Ovis aries: one gene and its partners. The protein of the gene in region 1 purifies or fractionates together with the protein of each later gene. This does not show direct contact. Links are inferred from orthologs where the notes say so. Each region holds a gene or a part of one and is shown in the gene's direction. Other genes may lie near its edges.

Region 1 (2,386 bases):
AGCGGGCCCAGGGCGTGGTGCTGAAAGTGCTTACAAACTTTAAGAGCAGCGAAATCGAGCAGGCTGTGCAGTCACTGGACAGAAACGGCATTGACTTGCTAATGAAGTACATTTATAAAGGGTTTGAGAAGCCCACAGAGAATAGCAGCGCAGTGTTACTCCAGTGGCATGAAAAGGTACGTGAACACATTGCCCGCTGGCTCACCCCAGCCCAGGGTTCAGATCAACAGGCCAGGCAGTCCCAAACACAGACAGGATGGTCTGATAGGCCGTTGAGAATGAGGGCCACGCCTCAAGCAACCTGGAACATCTGAGCACTTTCCTCTCCCAAGGAAGCACTGGTAGGGGTCCACCATCTCTGGTCATTGCCATTGCTTTAGCTGAGTTTGTGCCGGGGAGGCCTTGGGGCCTGTAACTTGGCTGGTGAGGTTCAGGTAGGCTTGCTGGTGGCAGGGCTTTGACATACTTTCTTTGGGCTGGCGGAGGTGGTGATCCTGGGCCTTAGATGCAGGCTGAGCCCTCCGGTTAGCTCTGAGGGCTTCCTGCTCCAGCCTTACCTCACCAGGCCACACAGAAACAGTGGTAGATACCTTGGCAGTCTCTTAATAGGACCTTCATCCTCCTGAAGCTGGAAAAGCTGGGCCTGTCCTTTGTTTTAGTACAAGGTGTTGGGGGGTGGGTAGGGGGTGGGGGGGTGGAGGGAGGGCCACCTCTTGTCAAGCCAGTGTCCCTCATGAAAGGCTCTGCCGAGTACTAAGGGAGTGGCCCTTAACTGAGGGGTCAGTCACATGGCCAGCCTCAGGCCTGGGCTGAATTGTGGCCTTTGGTGCTGCTGGTGGGTGTTCTGCCTGCCCTGCCAGAAGGTGAGCTCCTGGGCTTCGTAATGGAGGTGGCTATGGTGCTTGGGAGCTGAGCAAAGCCCTTGGAGTCGTCTGAGGGGCCACGCTCTCTGGTCCCTTCATGGCAGCCGGATGCATGAGCCTGTGGACATTTCCACTGCAGTGGGCTAGTGTCTGTTTTAGGGCCTAGGGCTGTTTCTGGATACAGTGAGCTTGTCAAAGGGAAACTGGGGGGCTCTGTGAGCTTGGTGACAGTGTTGCAAGCCCAGTTCTCCTGCCTTAAAGAGCCAACAGCTTTTGGGGACCCTTTGTTCCAGGAAAGGGCTCGATCCGTCGAATGCAGGCCCTGTTGACACCTCTTCTGTGCTCTCGCAGGAATGCTTTTTCAGAAGATCTGTGACATGGTCAGGAGTGTAGTCCTGTCTCCCCTGGCAAGAAGCTAGGAGCCCCTTGGCCAGCCAGGTCTCAATTGACACCTTTTCTTTTGCTGCCCCTACAGGCATTAGCAGTAGGAGGACTAGGCTCCATTATAAGAGTTCTTACAGCAAGAAAGACTGTTTAAAAAAAAAAGAGAGAGACTCATGTTACCTCAAGAAGAATTTTGGATGCACAGGCTGTCGAAGAAGGGATTGACAATGGGCCGCCTGTCTCGGAACTCCCAAGTCAACTATTTCACGACCTGCATCCGCTGAAGTGTTTTATTTTCAAGGTGGAGGGAGAGATCGTCTGTTTTCATAAATCCTTTGCAGGATCTGATAGTCTATGCCTTTGTCCACGAGTAACGCAGAACTGACATTTTGACTCTACCAGAGTGGCTGGCCCGCCTTGGTCCGGGGTACCTGTGTGCACTGCCTGTTTAAAAGGAGGGAGGGGTGGTTTGGGCAGGTGCAGATCCAAGGGCTGCGGTAAAAGGGAGAGCTAGGTTTTTTTTTGAAGCGGAAACCCCCGAGGGTTTGTACAGACACCCCGACCTCCCAGAGAAGGCGGGCTCTCTTGGGTTCATTGTAAAGTGCCTGCTGCATCAATAAAGCTCTTGGCTTATTAGTATATACTCTGCCGTGTGTTTCATGTGTATAAAAGGAACGGGAAATAAATGGGATGGTCATGGATGAGAGGTGGCCTGTTCTGGAAACTGGACGTGGAGTGGTAGACAGACAAAACTCCCTGCAGAGCTGCCTGGGAGCGAGCGTGGTGTTCTCACTCTGGCTGCAGCGGTCCCTCGAGCCTGGGCCACAGTGCTGCTGGCTGCTACACAGACATGTTTTGCTGAATAACTATTGTTTTTACTCCTCTGATTTGTATGTAGTTTTGGAGCTTATTTAATAAAGTCTTCAGTTTGTGTGATTGCACTTGGGAGTCCTGGGAGTGGGCTCAGGTGTGCCCATCAACCCCTCCGGACGCTGGGCTTGGCTGTTCGCCAGGAAGACTGTGATGCTGAGGGGTTTTCTTTACAGGAGGGAGAGACAAACAGGTAGGAACAAGCCTGTACACAGACAAGGCACATTTTGTTCCCTGTAACCGCTGACAGTGGGCCTGTCTGAAGAGCA
Region 2 (4,275 bases), on another chromosome or scaffold:
TTCCTCCATACTCCTCACCTTTCTTTTCTTCCCACCTTCTACTTTTCTTTCTAGGTTCCTCAAAAATTTCCTAGATCTGGGCCTTATTTGACCTGAATGAAAGTGAAGTGGCTCAGTCGTGTCCGACTCTTTGCGACACCATCAACTGTAGCCCACCAGGCTCCTCCGCCCATGGGATCCTCCAGGCAAGAATACTGGAGTGGGTTGCCATTTCCTTCTCCAGTATAGGAAAAAAAAAAAAAAAACAAAACACCCTCAAACAAAAAAGGAATCATCATGGGTTGTCTAACATGATCAAGTAATCTACCACTACTTCTCATACGGAAAAGCAGTTTAAAAATGCTTTTAATACCAGTTAAACTGCCTGGAACTACATCTCCAGAAGAGTCCTAAAAAGTAAGGTCAGGAATATATGATAGGGAGGGAGGAGGAAGCAAGTGGAATCTTCTCGACCTTCATAACATAGTTGGTAAGTGGTGTGAACTTTGGTCCGGGTTCCAGGAAGATCTTTTGGACATCACTTCACCTTTGATACTTGAGAATATGTTCCATAATGATCCTGGTGTAGTGTTAACCTGATCGAAGGTCAATCACCCCTTAAAGCTGTCCGTGCATTTGTTGCACAGGTTTTTCTTCTATAGAGGAAAGCATGCAGTGTTCTGACAGGTGTAAGAATTCTAACGTCAAGGTTTTTTTTTCTTTATTCAGAAAACATTTGGGTGTTTCCCGGAGAAGGCGATGGCACCCCACTCCAGTACTCTTGCCTGGAAAATCCCATGGACGGAGGAGCCATGGGGTCGCTAAGAGTCGGACACGACTGAGCGACTTCACTTTCACTTTTCACTTTCATGCATTGGAGAAGGAAATGGCAACCCACTCCAGTGTTCTTGCCTGGAGAATCCCAGGGACGGGGGAGCCTGGTGAGCTGCCGTCTATGGGGTCGCACAGAGTCGGACACGACTGACGCGACTTAGCAGCAGCAGCAGCATGAATGCACCAAGTACTCTGCTGCGCATCCTTGTCATCAGTGGGAAGACATTCAGGAGCCGTATCTAGCGGAGCCTATAGCCTGCTATAGGAGTACAAATAAATATATACACACGGTATAAATTTGCTCCAAATGTTGTGAAGCAAAGCAATAGATTGTTGAGATAGTGAGTAAGGTGCAGGGGGGTGAGGGGGCACCTAGCAGATGAGCAGGGACAGCTTCCTTGAGAAGGTGACATCTGAGAGGAGACTTAAAAGGATGAGGAGTCAGGCTTCGGGGTCAAGTCCACGGTAAGTCAGAAGAGCTCAAAGCCTCTCCCGCAGCGAGGTGGGACGTACAGGGAACGAGGCCCCGCTGCCAGCACTAAAGATGGCGGGCGGCCGGGGGCGGGGACAGGGCGTGTCATCGTAGTGATTGGCCAGGCGGGGGTGGGCGGGGCGTCACGTGTGCCGGCGGCGAGCATCCGGGCTCCCGGCGGCGGCGCTGCGGAGGCTCCCGGGAGCCCGGCGGTGGCGCGGGGCGGCGAGCGGGCCGGCGATCCGGGGAGCCTCCGGAGCCGGCCGCGTGGGCCGAGCATGGCGGGCTCCCTGCCTCCCTGCGTGGTGGACTGCGGCACCGGGTAAGAGCCGCGGGCGCCCGCTCCGGCCCCGGCGCGCCTGCCCCTGCCTGCCCCGCGGCCCGGCCCCCTGGTCTCACCTGGGGTGCCCCGGGCCCGGGTCGCGGCCCTCACCTGTCCAGGGGCCCCCTGACTCACTCACCTTGCTGGGGAGGGAGCCGAGGGGAGACGTGGCCTCCCCGCCTCCTCCTTGCGCTCGGCCGGGGCTCCCCGGGACCCGTACGCCTCCCGGGGGTGCGGGCTGCGCACCCCGCTGCCGTTCCCTCGCCTTCCGCCTGCCTCACGGCGCCCCTGCCTTCTCTTCAAAAGTGGCCCTCGTCCTGGGTCCCTAAGCGCATGCCATTTCTCCTCCCTGATAGGGCTTCTTTATCACTTACTTGTGGGAGGTTTTTACAACCGTCTCCCAAGTTGACATCTTTAAAAAAAAGTGTGTGTGTGTGTGTGTGTGTGTGTGTGCGTGCGTGTGTGTGTTTGCAGCCTACTCTGTCCTCTTCCAGTATTGAATGGTTCAGTCAGGCTAAGGTCTTGCTTTAGTTTGCCTAGAGTTGCCTTTGCACTTAAAAATGTTAAAAAAGGCTCCATTTTGAAAAACAGAAAAACCAAAATGTGGGAAAGGCTGTTGGTGGTAGTATAGTTTCTATGTCTGCCCCCCGCCCCCAGCCCGTTACTTGTGGGCCGTGATTGCTTCTTTTGATGTTGGGATATGCCAAAGAGACCCTTCGGAAATCTCCCGGTCCTTTCCAGTGGCCCAGGCTCCGATCATTTTTAGGAAGGTGCTCGCTGAATCCATTTAGGTTTTGGTTTAGAAAGTCAAGCTTGCCTGCTTGCACTGTAGGTGAAGTGCTTAATAAAATAGCCCAGAAGTAAGTTTAGCCTCTTAGAAAGATTTTTCAAGAGGGGATTTTAGTCATTTTTTGCCACAGAATATTCCATGGCACGTTCACGGTAGCCTTGATTCTTCTCTGTAGAGAAACGCACTTGGTTCAGTTTCCTTGACAACCTTGTGGGGGTGTCTTCCTTAATTTGCTACAGTCCATCTCCTACGGATTGTTCTTTCCTTTTGCTGCAGAAAAAGGAGTGGTTACAATCTGGAAAAAACTGCTTCTTTGCATATATTAATTTTCCTTTCAGAGATACACGTTGTACCAGAAGTTTTGGGGCTCTTTATTTCAGTAGTTGTTTTGCTACCCAGAACCTGAGCCAAAAGCAGTGTTGATAGGAACACCCCCACCCCCAAATACTGGCTTCCTTATGCATCTCCTCCCACCATCTGGTATTCACCCCACACCCACCTGAGGTCTGGTTGTGTCAGGAGAGAAGGCAGCTGGTCAAAGAATCTTTCATCCCCACATTTGCACGTGAGGTTTTTGTGGTTTTGGTCTTATAAAACTGTTGAAATACAAAGTATTTCTTGGTAGAAGCAACAAAATGTGCCCACAGGGTTTGTCATACCTTTAATATTAGTAAGCTGGGAGCCTTACTCATCATTCTTGCTATAAATACCAAAGTGTGGTGCTCAGTTATGACCGTCTGAGGTAGGTGGTATCTCACGTGGCGGTATAACTTCAGGATATCTTTGTCTTCTGGCCCCAAGTTATGTATCGTCTTCAGGCTGTTGTAGGCGTTGTGTCAGGACTAGAAATAGTGGCCAGGGATCCTGCCAGTGGGTTTCACATGGACATAGTCTTTTGTGGGAACGGTGATGGTCAGTCAGGAATTTCCAGTGTCCAGTGTGTGGCCAGGAGGAGGAGCCTGGAAGAGCCCAAGTTTATTTAAGCATATTACTGCTTCTTATATGTCCTGCAGAGCCAAGTGACTTTGGATTGACCTTTAACTCAAAATGGGATAAAAAGGGATAAAATGCAGATAAATATAACTAGGACCGAAGAAAGGAACAGGCCTGGAAAATCACCTTAAACTGTAGGCCCACAGTGCAGCTGGTTGGTCTCAAGCTTGGCCTTCCTGTATGACAAGATTATGAGAGAGTCATCGTCAGTTATGTAATTCCTGTCATCAGGGAAGAAGAGAAATACCTGTTTCTCAGGCGAAAGAGCTTTCTCTAGTACTAAATTCTAAAAGAAAGATTCACACTGATAGTGGACATTTATGATTGAGTAGACAGTATACTCAATGGTGCTTTTTAAAAATAGCAAATAAATTTCATCCTGGGAGCCTGGCCTCATCTAGTAAACCCTGAGACCAGCTTGGTGAGCACACGTGTTCTTGGGGGTGGGATGACATGGACCACAGCTCTGCCTGCTCCACAGATGAAGCTTCGTCCACTTAAGTGAGTTACTGGGCTCCAGAGTGTTCAGAGAATAGCCTCACTTTTCTTAACTGAACTTGTAGTTCTGAAGATTTTTGTATTCTTTAAACTTATTTTGAGAAAGTTCAAATCTACTGAAAAGCTGCAAGAAGAGTACCAAGAAAATGCTATATAGTCTCCATCCAGCATTCTAACTACTAACATTTGCTTTATTGTTCTCTGTATACTTTATGCGTTATTATCTTTCTGAACTGTTTGTGAGTTGCAGCCATCCTGCTGTTTACACCAGGGTACTTCAGTATATCCTTTATGAGAACATGCGTTCACAGACCAGTGATCAGAACCAGAAACTAACGTTTATGCTGCTCTGTGTTACCTGCTCTGCAGTCTGGATGCCGTGAATGG
Region 3 (4,062 bases), on another chromosome or scaffold:
ATGTCAGCATTGCCACTGATTTCCATCAAAATCTTCCCGGAGTCTCAAAAACCTCTGGCCCTGTTTCCTCAGTTATAGAACATGATGGTTTCACTTAAGAGCCCCTGAAGAACTAAGAGTCTACCATCCAGAATGGCTCATAAAATATGAAAGAAAATGCATCAAATGGTAAGCTTTGTTTAGGCTGAAATGCAAAATATTAACTCAAAAGATAGAATCAGTGATTAACATTAAAATGTCTCATTGTTACTCTTCTGGGGCTAAATTATTTCTTACCTTGTCATTTATCATAAAGAGTCTGGTATTACTGATTTGTATGTATCCCTCTCATTTACCCAGCCTATAAACCCCTTCAAAGAAGGAACTGTCCTTTGTAAAGAGGTGGGATCTAACTAAAACACTGATGGCATTTTGACCCTGGGTAACAACTCTACATCCGGATTCGTTCATCTGACTTGGAGACATAAGAGGAATCCTCGCTTCCACGTGCGGTCCTTCCCCTGCCAGGATGCTGTCTCCAGGAGAGAATAATTAACTGAAAATGATCTTTCCACTCTCAATGTGCCCTAGAACGCCCTAGGACCAAAGATAACTATTTATTCCAGGGCATTAGCGCTGAATAAACAGCCCCAGAGAAGACAGTACGTGTGGCTGTTAAGTCGGGAATCTGACAAGTTCACTGTGGTGAACATCACCTGACAAGTTTCCGGGTCAATCACCCCAGGGACAGGAGAGCTGGTCCATAATTTCTGACTTCAAGGGCAGCCAGTCTGGTGGAAAGAGGGGTTCAGGTCACTGTCTTCCTGAGTTTGGGGGACGGCTGAACTCCCCCAACTCCTGGGTCCTGTGGCGCCAGCTCGGGAGCAGGGAACGATTCTGACCCAAGAAGGGTAGAGAACGTTCCTTGGAGAGACCTCCACAGAGGGAGGGCGGGCTCTGAAGAGGCCTCCTCACAGAGGGAGGAAAAAAAAGTAGGGATTTGTCCGTTCGTTTGGCTCAAAAGGTCCCAATTCTCAGGAATTCATTCCGTGACCAAAGCACTTGAGAAAGCGCCAAGGCTCCGCGCTTCGGTCCTCGAGTCTCAGGACATTTTGCGAGGAAAGCACCAAGAGGTCTACGCTGCCCCGCCACCAGCTCCCAGCGGTCTCTGGACGCAAACTCCTTAGAAGCCGCCCGACCCTTCCCCGCAGCGCGCGCGCCCCGGGGCGCGCGTGCGCCGACAGCCCGCGCCGCCGCGCCGCGCAGGCGCCGTGGCCACTTCCGGGAACTGTCAGCCGCTCCCTCTGGGCCTCGGTCCTCCGCCCGCGCCCGCCGGAGCCTGTTCGCGTCGACTGACCAGAGTCCGCGAATTCAACGCTCCGAGCCCGTCCGGACGGCCCCGATCCCAGGTAAGGGGCAGCGGGGGCGAGGTTCGGGCCCTGCTGGCCTCCCCTGGCCCGGGCCTCGCTCCCGATCTGTACCTGCGGGGGCAGCAAGGCGGGGGCTTAGGCCGCGGGGCCCGGAGGCGGAGGGGAGGGGCGGGCCGGGGGAGGGGGCGGGGAGGCGGTGTTCTCTGAGGGGCCTGCCGAGCCCTGGGGTCCCCGCACGCCCAGATCCATCTCTCAGCGATTTCCAAGTTCCGATGCTCCTCCAATGCCAGAATGAAAGATCGCTTCTCCTGCGCTTCCATTGTGGGCGTTTATCACAGGCGCTAAAATTGTAGTGAATGGGATCACCACCCCCACCCTATCGCGCGTCGCGAGGCACGGTTCATTCCTTTAGCTTCAGCGTCTAGAATAGGGTCCCTGAGCGCAGTAAGCGCCCCTGGAGTGTCTGTTCCTGTCTAGGGCAGCCCTGCATCCTTCAGCTATAGGGGGAACCTTTCCGAACCGGCGAAGAAGCCTCCCCCGAGTTCTTTAAGAATCTCCCCGCTTGAGTGCCTCTTTCCCCTAAGTCGCGGTCGACCCCCGGCGCTCCTAGTCCTCCGTGCAACCTTTAGCACCTTTTCTCATTTCTAATCCTCGAGTCGGACTGCCCAGCCTCCCTCCCATCCCGGCACCACGACTGCTTGGATGACCCTGGGAAGATTGCTGGTCTGAATCCCCGTTTTCTCATCTACATTTATAAGATCCTTAAGGGGTTTCTGAGGCTCCAGTGAGCTTATTTGCATACATTGCTTAGGATAGCCCCTGTCCCTTAGTATGTGCTCAATTAAGTTTTATTCGTGCTTCTTATATTGTCTGTGTGTCTTCCCTTCCTCTTCTACCCTTCTCCCCCCAGATTTGTGGACCAGAGAAGTGTCAGATTTATTTATGTTTCTGGTCCCAACCTGGTATTGCTCCACTGCTGGGAATATGGTAGGCCCTTTAATACACTGTGGGCTTCCCTGGTAGCTCAGATGGTAAAGCATATTTATCTCCTCCCTGCAATGCAGGAGACCTGAGTTCGATCCCTGGGTTGGGAAGATCCCCTGGAGAAGGAAATGACAACCCACTCCAGTATTCTTGCCTGGAAAATCCCGTGGTTAGAGGAGCCTGATAGATTATAGTCCATGGGGTCGCAAAGAGCTGGACACGACTAAGCAACTTCACTTTCTTTAATACATTGTAGTTTAGAATCTTTTATTATAAAGCCATCTGTTCTCATACTGGGGCTTTGGAACCAGAAGGCAGTGCTAACCTACTTTTATCTAATTCAACTCCTTGCCGAAATTACCTAAATTATCCTAGTTCTGCCCTCTTTCTTTAATCAGTTTCTAAATCTAGCCTTTTAGTATCCAATAGACCCTGGGTGTTTCAAGTATCTATTAAAAAAAAAAAAGGAGAGAGTATCATTCAGGAGGATATTTTTGCCACGTGAGGGAGTAGGTGTAAGTGGCTGCTTCTACCTCAAAGTATTTGGAGACCTTCCAAGGTTAATTCATCTGCTTATCACAGTTAAAGGAGGGGATCATCTTGGAAAAATAAATCTCCTGCTAGGAGGGAGAGGATCAGTAATTCCATCTAGTTAACTAATCCTATGCCGAAACAGGTTCTGCCTAATGAGGTTTAGTCTGCTGGTTGAGGCTGGAATTGGAACCTGTCCCTGAACACTGTAGAGGGTGTGGTGACCTTGTCAGAGTACCTGGTAGTGCTGGGTTGGGTGATGAGAGCAATTAAAAACTGGATGAATCACAGTCTAGAGCACTGACCTTAAGTAGGGAACTGACATCCCTACTGTACAATTACTTTAAAGCTCCAGGGCCAGGAAGGTGTTCCCAATTCAGAGGGTACTCCCTGGAGTGTATTTCTGGGGCTGGGTCAGAGGGAGAAAGGGAACTCATTTATTGAGTATCTCTTTGGGGGTAGGCTTTGAACCACATGTGTTCATGTGCTTTCTCATTTAATCCTCCCACCACTGGCCTTGCGATGTCAGTTCTATGTCCATTTCACAGATGAAGAAAAATGAGTTTGGGAGATAGCAAGTGACCTGCCCAGGATTTCCTGGCTAGTGTGTATTAAAGCCAGGATTCAAACCCAGGTCCCCTTGACTCCACCGCCCATGGCTCAAGTGATAGGTAGAGACTCAAGTGATAGGTAGAGAAAGGAACTGAGGGATGGAGGGGTCCCCTGGAGTCATATCGTGCTACAAAGAAGTCATTCTCTCCCTTTCCATGCTGGCCATTAAAAGGTCATCAGTAGAAGTTTGTTAATATCATCACCTTTTTTTGTCTGTCCCTTTTTCTTCTCTCTATCTTCAATAAGATAAGCTTTTTTTTCACTTAAGTAGAAATCACAGTTTAGAAATGATAATTATCACCCTAGGACAGGTTTCTTTTTCTTGGTGGAAAAAAAAAAAAACCCCAAGCTGTCATTATTCTACTTTCACTGAGTTTCGTGAACACATGCTGTGTTCACTGGTGGTGTCTTATGAATTGGACGAACATGAATGTTGTCTTGGTCTACAGACTTAAAATAGCCACATGATTATAGAAGTACAGGTCCTGAGTGTAGGTCCAAATATGGAACCTGAATGATATAACAAAATTAGAAGTGCAGTTTTAGAAGTTAATTATGCCATTGAGTAAATGTTTACCTCTTTTGA
Region 4 (4,232 bases), on another chromosome or scaffold:
GAGAAGTCTCTCCTAACTTTTGTTTCCCTCCTATTCACTCACCCCTCCTCCCCATTTCTCAGCGCCCTCTGTATTATAATTTCTATTGCTCTTAATACAGTTTGTATGTTTTGCCACTAAACTGTAAACCCGGCAGTGGAGAGAACTTGTTCATTTTGTGCCTACTGAATATTAATGGTCAGCATAGTCCCTGCCCTAATAGAATGGGTGAGCAATTCTTATTTGCCAAATGAATGAAAAGCTTAAATTCCATTGCCCAGGCTGGTCTAACACCACTCTATGTTATCTTCTGAAGCAATCAGACATCCTTTCTTAGGAAAAATGTTATTTCAGTCACCTATAAGTGAATCCATATGGTTTATCAGAAGATAAACCAGAAGAGAAAAAAGCTATTAATATTATAGGTTTCCTAGGTGGGGGGAGGTCCCAGACCAACACCTAGGAACTGGGTAGAAATGCAAATTACTAGGCCCCACTCCAGACCACCTAATCAGAGAACTCAAGGGATGTAGTCCAGCATTCTGTGCTTTAACAAGCCTTCCACGGAATTCTGATGCACACTTTGAGAAGTTTAAATGTCACTGTTCTAGGCTTTCTAGTTTTTTTTTTTTAATTAAAAAGTTTGGTCCTTAATCCGTCGTTTCATCCTGCAAGTAGAATAGTACAACCTAAAACTACCCCGGAGAGTACTTTTTTCTCCTCATTCAAAGCCACCAAAGGCTTACATTCCTGTGAGGTGTGCCTTCCTCGTGGGCACAGGCCTGCCCTCCGGGTGGCCTACAATCTAACCCTTGCAGTAACACTTGTAATGTGCCACGTTGTAACAATGCGTAAGTGTAACTGAAGAAAACAAAACAAAACAAAACAGTACCAAGGCAGAGGAGCCACGGTGCAAGCCTTTGTTCCTCTCTCCTCCAACGGCTCACCCTCCGTCTGATATAGCTCTTTTCCAACCAGAAAAGGAGCCGCTCAAGATATAAAATCGGATGGGTGCCGCTGACAAGGTTTTCAATTAGGCCGTTTTCGTCGGAGCACCGGAAGATAGTTGTGGCTGTGGAATGCGATTCCATTGCTTCCTCAACCTAGCGCAGAAGTACTTGCAACGAAAAACCCCTTCCAGCTTCAGAAGGAGAACTGGAGACTCGGGCAGACCTACCCAACCCTACCTGGAGAACACCCGAAGTGGACTACCTCACCTTCGGAATGGGAGCGGCAGCCGGCGGCGCTCCTCAGTGCGCATGCTCTCTCGCCCCGCCCGCTCGGAGCCGGAAGGGGGAGCGCTCGAGGCCTAGGCCTGTCCTGGCCGGGGCGTCGGCACTGGCGGCCATCTTGGCTTCCCGGGGAAAGGCGGTGTGAGGGGAAGAAGTTGTAGGGTGGGGGCAGGAGTGAGGAGGAGGGGAGAGAGAGGGGGAGGAGGCCGCGGCGGGGCAGGGCGGGGACTGCCTGCCTGCCCGGGTTGCGGAAGTGGTAGCCGCTGACCGAGCCTGCTTCTCTCTCGCTACTGCTTCGGCTTCCCGGCTCCCCCCCAGACGGAGAGGGTGGCCCGGCCGTGGATGGTCAGATAGCTTCCACCTCCCGCCGCCCATCCCTGGCCCCAAACGGCACGGAGCAGACGGCGGCAGCAGCAGCAGCAGGCGAGGAGGAAGATGGCGGGACGGCTGCCGGCCTGTGTGGTGGACTGTGGCACGGGGTAAGGGGGCTGATGGGCGGGGGTGGGGAAACTGAGGCGGAGGCAGGAAAATGGCGGGGCCGGGAGGAGGCCGGGAGATGAATGGAGCGGCAAGGTGCTGCCGCCGGCTGTGTCAGCCCGGGCCGCGCCGGGTGGCGAGGGGTGGGGCCCGCAGTCAGGGCCTCCCTCATCCCCCGCGCTGCACCCTCTGGGAGCCGGGCGGCGGCGCGGGGCCCAGAAACCCCGGGGAGCGGCTTCCTCCGCGCCACCCCTCCCGGCCCTTCCCCCACCGCGGTGGGCAGCGCCGCCCGAGGGGCTGCGGGGACGGGCGCCTCCCCGGGGCCCGCGGTCGCGTGGGGGTGGTCTTCGAGCCCCGCACAGCCGACCCTCCTTTGCCCGGTGCCCTTTCCTGCCCGTAGGTTTGGAGACCGGGGGGAATGGAGCGCGGGGACTGGCCGGGCAAAGGAGCGAGAAAAGAGAAGCGCTCCTTGTAGGTTTTGCAAGATTGCTGTGACAACATTCTACCCGGGGTGTGGGAGGGGAAAGGGAAGAATCGGACCCTGAAAATGGGAACCTAGATCGGGGCTTTCATTGGACCACCCACCTCCTCTTCCTTTTCGACTCCCGGTCTTTTCCATCTCCCACTACGTTCCTACCGGCCAACCAACTCACATTTTAATTTGAGAGAAAGATGTCATGTGTTACTTCTCTTGCCTCAAAAAAGTCCCCCAGTGAGCAAGCGCGCTGCAACTTCCTTAGTTTTGTCAAAGCCGCTTCCTGCTTTCAGTCTTTTATACCCTTATAAGGTAGTTTTTCGTTTCCAACCTGAACACATCTTATTAGAACTTTCAAAATCAAGCAGTTTTCAAATAGGCTGAGGTACTGGTGCTAGGTATGAATTTCTGTGAACTTAAAAAGTATATTTGCGTTGCACTGAGAGGAAGGAAGTGAAGCACCCAGGAAAATTAAGTTGTATAGGTTCATTCTGTGACCGTGTCTTAAGGAGAGAAGGAAGGTAATAGAGTTGTAAAGGGAGGTACTTGCTTTTCAAGGAGTTATTATGGATCTGCAGTGTAGTTTACTAAAGTATATAACGGTGTGGAAGTGGTCGTTCCTTTTGTATTAATAGGCGTTTATAGCACACTTTATACTATCGTAGAAAATATTGCCTGTGTTTTAATGCAGAGTGACTGCTTTATGTTTCACTATTGGAAGTGTTTTCTTGTGCTTGTGAATGCTGTGCTGATACATGATTACTTCTCCAATTCCCCCAATTTTGGACGGAGTTATGAGAAGTAGATTGTCAGCCTTTCCCTTCCCTTTTTACTCTTTAGCGAACTATTGTTACTTAAAGGATGGTATACTCCTCACTCAGTTTGTTCTGTGTGAAATTTCTCTATAATCCTCATGATCATACCTTTATGAAAGTGTGGCAGTTTGTAAAATCCCAGCCGTGCAGAAGGAAATAACCGATTTATTAATATAATAATAAACCAGTGTTGTTTAGCCATGAAACTTCTATGTAGATTTTTGATGGATAGGTGATTATTTTTCTTAATCCAGTTTTATTTGCTTGAATCAGTATTTTTTTTTCCCGCCTTCCTTCTTAGTCCAGTTGGGGAGTAGTTTTATGTTTAGGGTCAGTTTTAAAATTAGATTTGGCAGCTTGACTGAGAAAGAATTTTCAAGTATGTTTTGTTACAGTGAAAAATATTGCTACATAGTTAATATTCTATGCTTTAGTAATTATTGCCTTGTCGATAAAATTAGTGTAGATAATTGTTGCCCTAATGGTAATATCTTAGGTAAGGTGTTAACTTTTTCTCATTTAATTTTTTCCCTTTTGAAATCTTGATTACGTTTGAATTAGTATGCTGGGTATTTCTTTGAGGTTAACTATCCTTAAGTGTCTTTCTGATAGGGCAGCTTTGAATTTAAAACACAGACTGAGTTACCATGAGGTGTGGGGGAGGGGGTTCAGTCTGTACTTAGGATGCTGCCCAGTCTTGGTTGTTGAGCTGTGTCCGACTCCTTGCGGCCGGGTGGACTGTAGCCTGCCAGGATCCTCTGCCCATGGAATTTTCCAGACAAGAATACTGGAGTGAGTTGCCGTTTTCTACTCCAGGGGATTTTCCCCACCCAGGAATCGAACCTGTGTCTCCTGCATTGGTAGACAGATTCTTTACCAGTGAGCCACCTGGGAAGCCCCTTGTACTTAGGATATTTTTGCTTTAATGATCAGTTATTAATTATATTACTACATTAGTTTTATCTCATAGGGAGAGGTTGTGTTAGCTGGACAGTCATGATTTAAATGAAACTGATCTAAGAATTCTTCTTACTTTCTTTTACCATCTGTCACTGTCTGAAATTCCACCTTTAGAGATCCGTTTATTTATTTGTTTATTTTTAATTTGATTGCCCATGCGGAATGTGAGATGTTAGTTCCCTGAGCAGGGATCGAACTCTTGCTCCCTGCTTTGGAAACTCAGAGTGTTAACCACCAGGGAAGTTCCAGATATATACTTATTGTGGTTTTCAGAAGGCATTTTGGTCTTTGTTG
Region 5 (4,222 bases), on another chromosome or scaffold:
TAGATGTTTTTTTGGAAATCTCTTGCTTTTTCTTTTTTCTGTGGCCCTCGAGTATGCAAAGGGCAAAAACACCCTGATCTAATGTTACTGTCATGTGAGAGAGTCAGAAAAATAAGACACCTTTTCATTTGCCCTCCTCATCCTGCTTGAGCTATACCTCCCTCATTTAGCCTTATGGAGAGTTTGGTGTGTGCTCAGATGGTAAAGAATCTGCCTGCAATTCAGGAGATCTGGGTTCAGGGTTCTCCAGGGAAGAACCCCTGGAGAAGGGCATGGCAACCCACTCCAGTATTCTTGGCCTGGAGAATTCCATGGACAGCAGAGCCTGGTGGGCTACAGTCTATGGAGTCACAAAGAGTTGGACACGACTGAGTGACTAACACACAAGAGGAGGCTTTTTTGATGGGAGCAAAGTAGCCCCACAGTCACCCTCATTAGAGGTTTCCTTGTGTATAATTAGTCTTAAGGGCCCAGTAGATCAGCTCGATCAGGGAAGACTATCTTTACCATCTGAGACCACCAAGGAAGTCTCCTCCTAAAAGGTAAAATTTGGCCAGAAATATAAATGAGAAATCAATTGTGGGAACATGGGACAAAGTAATTCCTTCTGTGGGACTGGCAAAAGAAATGGCCAGAAGCAGCAGTGAACTTGGCTTTTAACCTGAGGTGCTTTCCGGTAAAGATTAAGAATTCCTTAGCTTTTAGTATGTTCCAGGCATGTAAGTTCTAAGCACATTCCATGCAATTCATTTCCTCACAAAACTCAGGTAATCACTGTTATCTCCATTTTCAGATGAGGAAACTGAGGTATGGAGGTTAACTTGCCAAGGTGACACAGCCAATAAATGTTGGAGCTGGATTCAAACCAATTTTTTCTCAACCATTACACAAAGAATCGCAGTACGTAATCACACAAGAGTAGTACACAAATCCCTTCTGTGATCATTTTTTCCTTTTTAAAATCAGTGGACTGAGTTCCTTCTCTTACTCAACACATGTTATTGATGCTTACCTTGTACCGTCCTGTTACAGGTGTAGGGATATAAGCAGTGAACAAAACAGACAGTCCTTGCATTTTTGACGTTCATACGAATGGACAGAGACAAAACCCAAAAGTAAAACATGAATCATAAGAACTGAGGGAAAGGGCAGTGAAGTGGGACTGAATTTAGGATGACCCAGGGAATGCTACTGAAAAGGTGGTCTTGGAGAAAAAACGAAAGAGGTGATATATCTAGGATTCTGTAACCCCGAAATCCACCTCATTCTCGCCCACACTTCACGCAGGCGCGATACTCAGAGCCCCTGCCTAGGGTTCGAGCGCCCCCTGGTGCCCTGTCGGATCCGCGCAGCTGCAGCGGCTAGCCACATACTGCGAGGCCGGAAGCGCGGCGTCCTGCCCTCGCCCTCCCCTTCCGGCTCACTTCCGCCTACCCCGCCCGGGCTGCCAGACCGGAACCGCCGATCTCTACCCAGATTCTCTTCGTTGGGTTTGAAACCGGGGCGCCTCCAAAATGCCGGTAAGTGGGCCAAAGTGGGGGTGTCGGGAGACGGCGGGGATTTGAGAGAGTCGCGAGAAGTCTTGCGTGCGGTGAGAAAAGTAGGCCGAGGAGGGCAGAGAGAAAGCAGGGGCCTGAGAAGGGGAAAGGCCAGAGGAGAGGGACCGGCCTCTGTGGGATTAGGGCGGCCCGGGGATGTCGGCCGGCCGTGGAGGAACAGGGCATGGCAGAGTGGGCCAGAGACCCGGGGCGTGCTGAGGAGACTGCCACAGGTCTGCCCCCTCCTCTCCAAGCTTGATCCTTTTTATCGCTTTTTGCGCCTCTGCCCGTCCCCCCGATTCCAGCGGGGTTCCCAAAGCCTCACTAGAGCCGTGAAGGCAAGGGCTGCCCTTTTAATTTCTCATATCACAGCTAGGGCCCGGCTTCTTTTTTTTTTCCCTGTAGGCCCACTTCCTCCTTTGCCTCTGGAGGCGGGTCCCTTATGCTGCCTGTCGCCTGTCCGACCCCACTTCCCTGACTCCTCCTCCCCTGTCGCCCCGGCAGTGGCTGCCACCCCTGAGCCGCTGGGTTTAGGGCTCTCAGAGCAGGTGCAAGGTCCGCGCCTAGTTTCCACATGTTTGTTTAATGTGCATCAGAGTAGGAGTTAAAATTGATGGTGGTTTGGTTGTTCTTAATTTCTGACAGTCACGGGTAGATTTATCACCATCATGGTCTCCATTTTGCAGATGAGGAAAAAGCATGTTCAGTAACATGTGATGTTTAGCATCTGCTGCATGCCAAAGCACTATTACAGCGGTGAATAAGGCCAACAAGTCCCTATTCTTAAGGAGTCTACATTCTAATGAGGAGACATAATCTGTGAATGTGAATAAAATGGGGGGATTGTTTAAGATAGTGGCAAATGCCATGAAGGTAATAAGACAGCATAGCTAGTGCAGGTGAGACAAGGGGCTGCGTTAGGTGAAGCACATCGGTAATAAAAAGGAGTAAACCATAGTTAAGGTTTGGTGAATCCCATAGCTACCATTTGACTCCTGATGCATGTCAGGCCAACTCTGAGCTACACAGTTTGTATAAATTATTCCCTAATTAATCCTCAGAGTGATTATGAAGTGGATATGTTAGTGGTTTTTCATTTTGCAGAGGAGAAAGTTGAGGCTCAGAGAAGTTAAGTAACTTGCCCAAAGTTGCACACTAGTGTGTAACACACCAGTATGTGTGTGTGTGTTGTGTGTTTGTATTGGGGTGTAGTAGATTTAACAATGTTGTGATAGTTTAAGGTTAACAGCAAAGGGACTCAGCCATATATATACATGTATCTGTTCTTCCCCACACTCCCCTCCCATCCAGGCTGCCACATTACAATGGGCAGAGTTCCATGTGCTGTACAGTAGGTCGTTGTTGGTTATCCATTTTAAATCCATTTTCGCATAAGTTAAAGTTAGTCACTCGATTGAGTCTGACTCTTTGGGATCCCATGGGTCCTACTAGGCTCCTCTGTCCTAGGCAAGAATCCTGGGCTCCTCCTCTAGGCAAGAATACTGGAATGGGTTGCCATTTCCTCCTCCAGAGGATCTTCCCAACCCAGGGACTGAACCCAGGTCTCCTGCATTGCAGGCAGATTCTTTACCATTTGATCCACCAGGGAAGCCCTTAAATACATAAGCACGCTAGTAAATCTTGATAAAGCCAGATTTTAAGCCAGAACCCTAATGCCTTGTACTCATCATTCCAGGTGCACAAAGAGCACCCTTGACCTCCCCTGTGATGACTTACTTATTTTCTGTCTCCTCTATTCACCTGACAGAGCCAGGGCTGGTCTTGCATGCCAATATCTCCACATGCCTTGCACACAGAAGGTACTTAGTAATCTTTTGATGAATAAATGACTGGGGCCCATGTTGTCTTACAAAAAGCCAGACATCTTGTAAAATGCCGAACTAGAAATTGGCCTATAAATTGTTCTCATAAATGTGATTTTTTTCCTCTCTCCGCTAACTCACATCCACCCACTTAAAACAAGTATATATGTTTTTATTTTACAAATGTAGAAATAGGCTAAGAGAAGAAAAGTGATGTCTTAAGGCATAAAGCCAGAAAGTGGCAGAGCTGAAGAGCCAGTTCTTTGATTGTGGTTTTAACACCAGCTGGGTTGCTGGGTACCTCTGATTTATATAGTGTTTGCCTATTTCTATAGTGTGAATACCTCACCAGTTACCAATGTTCTGTCACCAGATGTGAAATTGGAAGGAAAGCACAGTAGCACCTTATCATACAGTGTTTCCACCGTAGGTGCAAAAGGCATAACTAACCTTAAGATCACAGACATTGGTAAAATAATTTTAAAATAGGAAATAATGAAAGTGTCAAATATTTATTACCTTTGTTTTTAATATAATTTATTTAATTGAAAATTTCTATAACTTTATTTTTAATAATGGCTGTGTTCAACAATTAGCTTGCCTCAAATTTTCTCAGAATTCCTGAAACTTTGATAGTTTTCATGAGCCAGTTTATCTTGGATGAATTATTTTTTTCCTTGGGGAAGTGTACTTGTTTGCCCCAGTGACATTTGCTCTCTTTCTGCTTCTGTGTTCTTACCTGGCTTGTCCTTACAGGCTTACCACTCTTCCCTCATGGACCCTGACACCAAACTCATTGGAAACATGGCACTATTGCCTATCAGAAGTCAGTTCAAAGGACCTGCCCCTAGAGAAAGTAAG

The links.
Region 2: the proteins of ARPC5L (region 1) and ACTR3B purify together in Homo sapiens (affinity purification with mass spectrometry; 3 studies listed by BioGRID and IntAct, counting the BioPlex papers as one, with this or other methods). This does not show direct contact. The link is inferred for Ovis aries from reciprocal best matches to the Homo sapiens genes ARPC5L and ACTR3B.
Region 3: the proteins of ARPC5L (region 1) and ARPC1A fractionate together in Homo sapiens (co-fractionation; 7 studies listed by BioGRID and IntAct, with this or other methods). This does not show direct contact. The link is inferred for Ovis aries from reciprocal best matches to the Homo sapiens genes ARPC5L and ARPC1A.
Region 4: the proteins of ARPC5L (region 1) and ACTR3 purify together in Homo sapiens (affinity purification with mass spectrometry; 6 studies listed by BioGRID and IntAct, counting the BioPlex papers as one, with this or other methods). This does not show direct contact. The link is inferred for Ovis aries from reciprocal best matches to the Homo sapiens genes ARPC5L and ACTR3.
Region 5: the proteins of ARPC5L (region 1) and ARPC3 purify together in Homo sapiens (affinity purification with mass spectrometry; 7 studies listed by BioGRID and IntAct, counting the BioPlex papers as one, with this or other methods). This does not show direct contact. The link is inferred for Ovis aries from reciprocal best matches to the Homo sapiens genes ARPC5L and ARPC3.

What each region holds. Positions count from the first base shown.
Region 1 is NC_056056.1:11,024,877-11,027,262, reverse strand, and holds the end of ARPC5L (actin-related protein 2/3 complex subunit 5-like protein), read left to right. Parts: coding exon 1-176; intron 177-1,338; coding exon 1,339-1,401; 3' UTR 1,402-1,886; downstream 1,887-2,386. UniProt on the Homo sapiens protein: May function as component of the Arp2/3 complex which is involved in regulation of actin polymerization and together with an activating nucleation-promoting factor (NPF) mediates the formation of branched actin networks.
Region 2 is NC_056057.1:116,721,384-116,725,658, forward strand, and holds the start of ACTR3B (actin-related protein 3B), read left to right. Parts: upstream 1-1,475; 5' UTR 1,476-1,563; coding exon 1,564-1,607; intron 1,608-4,275. UniProt on the Homo sapiens protein: Plays a role in the organization of the actin cytoskeleton.
Region 3 is NC_056077.1:37,483,597-37,487,658, reverse strand, and holds the start of ARPC1A (actin-related protein 2/3 complex subunit 1A), read left to right. Parts: upstream 1-1,262; 5' UTR 1,263-1,388; intron 1,389-4,062. UniProt on the Homo sapiens protein: Probably functions as a component of the Arp2/3 complex which is involved in regulation of actin polymerization and together with an activating nucleation-promoting factor (NPF) mediates the formation of branched actin networks.
Region 4 is NC_056055.1:178,988,741-178,992,972, forward strand, and holds the start of ACTR3 (actin-related protein 3), read left to right. Parts: upstream 1-1,432; 5' UTR 1,433-1,646; coding exon 1,647-1,690; exon of another isoform or gene 1,691-2,402; intron 2,403-4,232. UniProt on the Homo sapiens protein: ATP-binding component of the Arp2/3 complex, a multiprotein complex that mediates actin polymerization upon stimulation by nucleation-promoting factor (NPF).
Region 5 is NC_056070.1:54,364,323-54,368,544, reverse strand, and holds the start of ARPC3 (actin-related protein 2/3 complex subunit 3), read left to right. Parts: upstream 1-1,422; 5' UTR 1,423-1,514; coding exon of another isoform or gene 1,515-1,520; intron 1,521-3,306; 5' UTR 3,307-3,340; coding exon 3,341-3,358; intron 3,359-4,117; coding exon 4,118-4,217; intron 4,218-4,222. UniProt on the Homo sapiens protein: Component of the Arp2/3 complex, a multiprotein complex that mediates actin polymerization upon stimulation by nucleation-promoting factor (NPF).